Linked DNA regions of Struthio camelus. The protein of the gene in region 2 binds, or shares a complex with, the protein of the main gene of each other region. Links are inferred from orthologs where the notes say so. Each region holds a gene or a part of one and is shown on either strand. Other genes may lie near its edges.

Region 1 (3,898 bases), on a different chromosome or scaffold from region 2:
GGAAAGGACATAGGTGCCTGTGAACTCTCCTACTGGTCCCACACAGCAGGAACACATCCACCAGCAGCTGCTGCCAACACCACAGGCGAAGATGAAAGGCCACGGGGCCAGACCTGCCCCGTGCCCAGGAGAGGGCCCAGCACACCAGCTGCCAGTGCAGCCTGGCCTTGTCCCAGCACTGGCCTCAGTACAGCTCACAGAGAGCCAGTTTGCAAGGTGGTGCCAAGCCCTCTGCCCCCAGCCCAGGCCAGGCAGGCAGCAGAGCTGAGCTGCTCACCTTCAGGTTGAGGCTGGGGTCTTGCATCACCCACTCTGCCAACGTGGGGATGTAGATCCCCCCGTAGCTCTCCCCCGTGAGGAAGAGTTCATTCTTCGAGTACTCAGGGAAGAGACGAAGAAACTCTTTCAGTGCCAAGTAATTGTTGTGAGCAACCTGCAGGCAAAAGGAGACATGGGTCAGACAGCATGGCAGGACCCCTCCACGTCTCCACAGGAGCGGGGCAGGCAAGGGACAGGTCACTCCCAGCAGCCTGGGTCCCTCACCTCAGTGTCATTTGTGGCGTACTTCTTGTCATCAGAGTAGGAGAAGCCAACTCCGGCGGGGGACTCCAGGTAGAGCATGTTGGCAATCTGCAGGGAGAGCAAAAGAGCTGGAGGACAAGGGAGACCCTGCTTCCAGGACTGTCATAAGAGCCATTGAGCACAGGGCTGCTCGCTATCATCTACAGCAGCGCCAGTAGGAGCCTGGCCCTGCCCTAGCTCTGCTCTGGACAGCCATGTTCCCACCCCAGTCACTAGCAAGACCTGAGAGGACAGTGGGTCAGGCAGACAAGCTTGCAGGAGGCTCCGTTCCCTCAAAAGGGCAGGAGGAACTGGCCCAGGGCCACCCTCTCTCCCAACAGCCTGCGGAGGGACCCACTAGTCGCTCACACAAGCTGGGCAGGAAGAGCTGCTCCTGGCCAGAACTTGTGCCCCTACCTTGTTCCAGGCGTAGTCGTTATACTTCAGAGTGACCCCATCCGGCTGGACCTGGGGAGGGAGAAGACAGTGATTGACGGGCAGCAGGCACAAGCCAGTCGAACCCCGGCAGGACAGCCCGCACTGTGGAGCCCGCCAGCCCTCGGCAGCCCTCCGCCCCAGACCACAGGCCAGGGACTGCTTACCAGGAAGGGGCCGTGCTCTTTCAGGAAACCCTCCATGGAGCTGCAGCCAGGGCCCCCGTTCAGCCACAGCACCAGAGGGCTGCTCTGCGGGTTGCTCTGGGCTTCCACAAACCTGCGTGGGATCAGGACCATGAGCATCCAGCGCCCTGCTGGGCCCCTGCCCCAGTCCGGGTCAGGGCAGTGCCCAGGGCACAGCCCTGTGCTCCAGTACAGTACTGGGGTACCAGCACAGCACCAGTCGCAAGGCAGCCCCACGTACCAGTAGTGCAGGCGCTTGGTCGGCCCGACGCAGAGGTAGCCAGAGAAGTGCCGGAAGGAGGGCTGTTTGGGGAGCCCCGGCAGGTAGGTGACCTCGTGGCCAGACGGAGCAGCCTGGCTCAGCCCCAGCAGCAGTGCGCACAGCAGCACCGGCCCCATCTGCAGAGGGATGGACGGACGGATGGACGAGAGCTCAGCGACGCTGGGTCGACCCGACGGGCCCGCAGCCCGGCCTGCTCCGGCCCCGCCAAACCCCTGACCCGAAACCACTGCAGCCCTGAGCTGCCCCTGGCCCGGGCCCGTCCCTCCACGGCTGGCTGCCCCCAGTCCCTGCCCCAGCCCTGAACCGGCCCAGCCCAGTCTCTCCCGCTGACCCTGGTCCTGGCCGAGTACCGGACTGGTGCCCCCGCTGACCCTGACTGTGACTGTGACCCCGATCCCGGTCCAGCCCGGCCCCCTCTTCCGACCCTGGTCCCGGTCCCGGTCCCGGTCCCCCCCCTGCTGACCCCAACCCTGGTCCCGGTCCAGTCCGGCCCCCTCTTCCGACCCTGGTCCCCGTCCCGGTCCCCCCCCTGCTGACCCCAACCCTGGTCCCGGTCCCGGTCCCCCCCTGCTGACCCCAACCCTGGTCCCGGTCCAGTCCGGCCCCCTCTTCCGACCCTGGTCCCGGTCCCGGTCCCCCCCCTGCTGACCCCAACCCTGGTCCCGGTCCCGGTCCCCCCCCGCTGACCCCAACCCTGGTCCCGGTCCCCCCCCGCTGACCCCAACCCTGGTCCCGGTCCCCCCCCTGCTGACCCCAACCCTGGTCCCGGTCCCCCCCCTGCTGACCCCAACCCTGGTCCCGGTCCCGGTCCCCCCCCTGCTGACCCCAACCCTGGTCCCGGTCCCGGTCCCCCCCCGCTGACCCCAACCCTGGTCCCGGTCCCCCCCCGCTGACCCCAACCCTGGTCCCGGTCCCCCCCCTGCTGACCCCAACCCTGGTCCCGGTCCCGGTCCCGGTCCCCCCCCGCTGACCCCAACCCTGGTCCCGATCCCGGTCCGGCTCCTGCTGGCGGCGGCTCTCAGCAGCCCCACGTGACTCGCGCCCATATGACCTCTGAGCGGTCACGTGCCTCGGGGCGGGGCTTCCTCGCGGTAGCCAATCAGCGCCCCGGCAGGCGCGCGGGCCCCCGCGCCCGTCCCCGCCGCGCGCACGTGAGCGCGGTCCCGGCACCGGCACCGGCACCGCCCTGGGACTGGGCGCTGCAAAGCGGGGCAACCCCAGGACCTTGTACCGCACACCAGGGCCGGAACACCGGCACCGTCCCGGCACCGGCACCGCGGGTCCGGCACCGGCACCGTGTGCTGCACACCAGGACCGGCACCGGTACCGGGGGTCCGGCACAGCCCTGGGACCGGCACCGGCACAGCCGGTCCGACACAGCCCCGGCACCGGCACCATGCGCTGCACAGCCGGTCCGACACAGCCCCGGCACCGTGTGCCGCACAGCCGGTCCAGCACAGCCCTGGGACCGGCACCGTGTGCTGCACACCAGGACCGACACAGCCCCGGCACCGGCACCGTGTGCTGCACAGCCGGTCTGACACAGCCCCGGCACCGTGTGCCGCACAGCCGGTCCAGCACAGCCCTGGGACCGGCACCGTGTGCTGCACACCAGGACTGGCACAGCCCTGGGACCGGCACCGTGTGCCGCACAGCCGGTCCGACACAGCCCCGGCACCGTGTGCCGCACAGCCGGTCCAGCACAGCCCTGGGACCGGCACCGTGTGCCGCACAGCCGGTCCGACACAGCCCCGGCACCGTGTGCCGCACAGCCGGTCCAGCACAGCCCTGGGACCGGCACCGTGTGCTGCACACCAGGACCGGCACAGCCCCGGCACCGGCACCGTGTGCCGCACAGCCGGTCCGGCACAGCCCTGGGACCGGCACCATGTGCTGCACAGCTGGTCCGGCACTGTGCCAGGACCGACACTGTGTGCTGCACACCACGACCGGCACAGCACCAGCACCGCGTGCTGCACACCCTGGGACTGGCGCAGCCCCGGGGTCACCCACGGGACCGGCACTGAAGCACACCCGTGCCAGGCCCCGGCCGCGGCCACGCGTGCCCAGCCCTGCCGGAAGGGACCCCACGGCCGCAGGGTGCTGGCACGGGAGGAGCGAGGGAGCCGGGGCGAGCGGAGGTCGCCCCACGCCGCGCTCGCGCTCCCTTGGCCCCAGCCGAGGGGGGGCCCTGGGCTGGGGGCAGAGCCATTGGAGAGGAGGCTCCACGGCGGCTGGCACCTTGGCCCCGTCCCACCCCTCCCGTGGGCCCAGTGGCACTAGGACCCCTCAGGGCCACCCTCGGCCCGGCTGTCCCTATTCGGAGGGTGCCGTCACCGCCTCCCCCAGCAGCTGCCTGGAGCTGGACTGGGCTGTTTAAAAATAGCCGTGTCAGAGATGGCTGCGCAGTGCCGCTCCGACACGCGCTTCCACC
Region 2 (3,898 bases):
CCCTGCGCCCGGCTCCCGCCTCGCCGCCGCCGCCGGCCACCACGTCGCCGCCACGGGCGGAGGGGAGAGGGCAGCGCGGGGCGGGGCGGCGCCGGCGCCGCGGCCGGGGGGAGGGCGAAGGCGGCGCGGGGGGCGGCCCCGCGGCGGGGGCCGGGCCCGGGGCGTGGGTTGTGCGGGGCTGTGCGCCGAGGGGAGCGAGCGGGCGCTTCGTGGTGGGCAGCAGCGGGCCTGGGCGCTGGCGTGGCGGCGTGCGCGGCCGCGCGAGCCTGAAGGCGCCCGATGCCGTCTCTTCCCAGAAGCGAAGTGGGGTCAGGCCTGGTCGGTTAGTACTCGGCCGTGAGACTGCCTGGGAAGAAGAGGTGCAGGAGATGTTTTGTCCCTTTCTGTTTTAGGGTGTTTTTTTTTTTTTTTTTGCTTCCCTTGCTTGCCCTAGGTTTCGTCAGCTGCCCTATAGAGCCTCAGGCAGGAGGTGGAAATGGGCCACGTCGAGGCCGTCTTCCACCTGCTCGTGTCCTGCCAGCAGCGTGGTCCACTAGCGTGACGCAGCACCAGCAGGCGAGCGGGTGGAAGAGGGAGCATCAGGGATGTGGAAAGACAGGAGACAGGATCCCAGTGGGTGTTGCTCCCAGAGGGGCCAAGCCCCAGGCCACCTTCAGAGACAGCTGGGCTTGTAGAAGCTGGTAGAGACATGGCAGTCCCACCTGTAATGGTGTGTGCTTATCAGCATCTCTTGTGCCGGGCCGGAAACTAGGAGACTCCTTTTCACCTCGTTGGTGTGGGAAAGGTGGAGGTGTGAGGAGGCAGCGGGGGAACTTCCTTCGTCCCCTCTGGGTAGCTGGGATGCGAGCCTGATGCTGGAGGGTTTCGGTGTCCTGAGAGGCAGGCTGGCAGGGGGCTGAGCTCCCCGATCCTGTGAGTGATCCTTGTGGGGAGGATGGGGAGGGGGCATATGAAGTAATCTGGAGGGCCTGAGGTTGGTGGGTACATCCTTATTGTATTGCTGGTGAGTGAGAGTGCGCATGTTACGCAAGGCTGGTAAGGTGGGATTTGTAAGATGGGTGAGGTGGCTGTAGAGACGGTGCAGGCAAAAGGAGTGGTGGGCTGTTGGTGGCGCTCCTGTTCACAACAGGGCAAGGAGGGAAGCAGCTTGGATAGGATTGGAGTAGCATGATGCCGCGGTGTTGTCCTTAAAAGGAGAGAAAGAAGCCGTTCACTTGCCTACGGCCAAACCACCCTGAAAGCGCCCGATCTCGTCCGATCTCGGAAGCTAAGCAGGGTCGGGCCTGGTTAGTACTTGGATGGGAGACCGCCTGGGAATACCGGGTGTTGTAGGCTTGCTTTATTTATTTTTTTTTTTGCACCCTCGTTTCCGAGGGTGATCGGCTGTTTTACACTTCCCCCCCCCCCCCACACACACACACACTCGTTCAGGTTTTTGTGCACCGTTTCCAAACGCTGGGCAGGAGGAGACCTGCCCGCTAATGCTTTTGCTCCCCTATTTGTGCTAGTCCCCCCGCCCCGCTCCAGCAGCCTCCGCATCGCCGTGACCAGCTGCCTCCTGCCTCGCTTTCCCCTGTGCTCTCCCCCAGGCGCCCGGGAGGGGCTGTGGGGGGGTCGAGGAGGCCCCACGCGAGGCGAGCCGGGGCGGTCAGGCGGCGCCACGGGGCGGAGCAGACCCGGCGGGGCAGTCAGCTGACGCCGGCGTGTCATGGGACGGCGTGCCGAGGAGTGCCTCGTCCACCGCCGCCGCTTCCTCCCTTCCCGCTGCTGTCCGGCATGCTACGGCTCCTGCTGCCGCTGGCCGCCTTGGCGGCGCTCCTCCGGGCCGCGGTGAGTCCCCTCGCCTCCCCCCCCCGCCTAGGCGCTCCCGCTCCGCCGCGGGCCCCGGGGACGCCGCTCTGCGGCTCGCCTCTCCCACCGCGGCCCCCTCGCCGGCCGTTGGGAGCGGCCGTTGGAGGGGGGGGGCGGGGCGGGGCGGCCGTTGGGAGCGGCCCCAGGCTCTGAGGGGCGCCGGGGTGGCCCCCTCGGGGGGGGCCGCGCTGCCTCTGCGGGCCTCGCCCGGAGCTTCACCGCCCCGGGAGGAAGAAGGATGCTGTCTGCGCTGCCTCTGCCTTTTTTTTTCCTCTCTCTCTCTCTTTTTTTAAATAACTGAGATCCATTATTAATTCATTAGTGATTTATGATCCATTGATGTTGTTATTTGGGGTGCAGATGTCCGGCTTTCCCTCTGTTCCCTGGTGGGAATTGCCAGGTGGAGGTGCAGCTGCAAAAAGAGGTTTGGGGCTGGGAGGGCCGAAGCATGGCGCTGGCCCTGCTCCTACCCCCCCCCCCCCTTCCGTGGCTGGTGGTCTCTCAGCTGACTTTCATTTCTGGGGAGGAAGCGCTGACAGCGCCTTCCCCTCGCAGCAGGAGAGGTGTTGTGCATCCTCAGTCAGGGAGGTGATGGATTGTCTTGTTCGCTGCTTTTTTTTTTTTTTGGTTCTCTCCGATACCCTCCTCACATGCCGGCCGGCCGAAACGGTTCTGCTAGGTGTACTCCTGCCACCATTTAGGCTTTGTTTTGAGAAACATTGTACTCTCGGGCCTAGTTAGGCAACCCTTGGGGCGGGGGAGGGGAAATGGAGCTGCAGTTACCTGATACCTGGACTCCATTAGCCGATGGCACGCACCGGAAACCTTGCTGTTTCTGTGGTTGCGTGAGAAGAGGGAGTTACACCCTTCCCCGCGTCGATTCTTTGTTCGTGTGCCGAAGGCCTAGCTAAATCCTTCATCTTTACAAATATTGTGGGAGCCCTGCTTTGGCGCTTGTGCTTTGAGTTGGAAGCAAACTATTTAGTTATTTTGATGCAAGCTTTTAACTGCAAAGATGGTTAAAGCAATGTGAAAAGTAGCACAGCTCCATGAGAGACGTTTATCAAAGGGAATGTTGAATAAGTCATGATCTTGGAGAGAGGTGGCGTTATGACTAAGGCGGTGTGTAAGAACAATGGAAAACTGATTCCAAATTTAGTAGTATTGGAATGGGAGCACTTGGTGAAACTAATAGATAAGTCTAAAATGGATAAAGTACTTCATAAAGGAGATAGTAAATTGCAGGAATTTGCTCCTGCAGGAAGCAGAAGCAGACCGTATCAACAGGTTCAAAAAAGAATTAGGCAGATTAATGGACACCAGCTTCATAAATAACATACTAAAAGGACTAGGCAGGGGTGCTACATGCCTAATGTAACAGCTCTGGCTGCTGGAGGGGTACGTGGGCTGCAGAGGGGTGCCAGGGTCATGTGATTTCTTTAAACACTTCCTGTTGCTGCTCTTGAGACAGAATATGACCCCGTGGCTAGAGAAACCATGGGCCTGACCCTTTGGGGCATTTTTGGTGTTCTTATCTGCCTAGCTTTATTTATTTTCTGTAGAAAGCACATATGTAAAATAGTACCTTTTTTTTTGTAAGAATGGTGTTACGACAGCTAAGAAGGCTTGAGGAAATGAGACTTTCTCTGTCAACCTATAGTTCCCTGACCGATCAATGAAAGAGGGTCCTGCAAAATCCTGGCTTAGTCCTTAATAATACAGTAGGGACCTGTCGGTCTTAGTGGTATTAATGTTCCTTTAAATTAGCTTGGGAAAGTACATGCTACAGAGTAGCATTCTGGCCCACTTGGGCTTTGTAGACTTTTAAGTTCACTGCATAACCCAGCAAGGCTGCTTTCATGCCCTAGTTCCGCAGTATTTGGCTGTAATGATTGCTTGCCTTTCCTCTAGTTAAATATGGACTGAGAGACAGGAAGTGTTTTGAAATTAAGTACGTGCTGCTGTGTGGCTTGAACTAAGGTAGTTGCATCACCTGAAACAAACTTGATCACTATTGTAGGTAATGAAAGACCTTCCATGTTTTTTC

Evidence for each region.
Region 1: the proteins of GLB1 (region 2) and CTSA are in contact, whole or in part, in a cryo-EM structure (PDB 7KDV), measured with the Mus musculus proteins. The link is inferred for Struthio camelus from reciprocal best matches to the Homo sapiens genes GLB1 and CTSA. Residues at the interface, in NP_033882.1 of Mus musculus: Tyr198, Asp199, Arg202, His206, Leu229, Thr233, Leu234, Gln235, Asp236, Leu237, Lys258, Phe259, Glu260; in NP_001033581.1 of Mus musculus: Glu29, Asp31, Ala37, Lys38, Gln39, Pro40, Ser41, Phe42, Arg43, Tyr107.

The regions. Positions count from the first base shown.
Region 1 is NC_090959.1:19,333,252-19,337,149, reverse strand, and holds the start of CTSA (lysosomal protective protein), read right to left. Parts: upstream 2,551-3,898; 5' UTR 2,511-2,550; coding exon 2,436-2,510; intron 2,414-2,435; exon of another isoform or gene 2,392-2,413; intron 2,023-2,391; exon of another isoform or gene 1,928-2,022; intron 1,581-1,927; coding exon 1,423-1,580; intron 1,276-1,422; coding exon 1,164-1,275; intron 1,030-1,163; coding exon 979-1,029; intron 631-978; coding exon 544-630; intron 434-543; coding exon 278-433; intron 1-277. Other genes in the region: NEURL2 (neuralized-like protein 2), read left to right, coding at 3,862-3,898. UniProt on the Homo sapiens protein: Protective protein appears to be essential for both the activity of beta-galactosidase and neuraminidase, it associates with these enzymes and exerts a protective function necessary for their stability and activity.
Region 2 is NC_090943.1:52,586,927-52,590,824, reverse strand, and holds the start of GLB1 (beta-galactosidase), read left to right. Parts: upstream 1-1,526; 5' UTR 1,527-1,776; coding exon 1,777-1,830; intron 1,831-3,898. Other genes in the region: TMPPE (transmembrane protein with metallophosphoesterase domain), read left to right, coding at 280-322.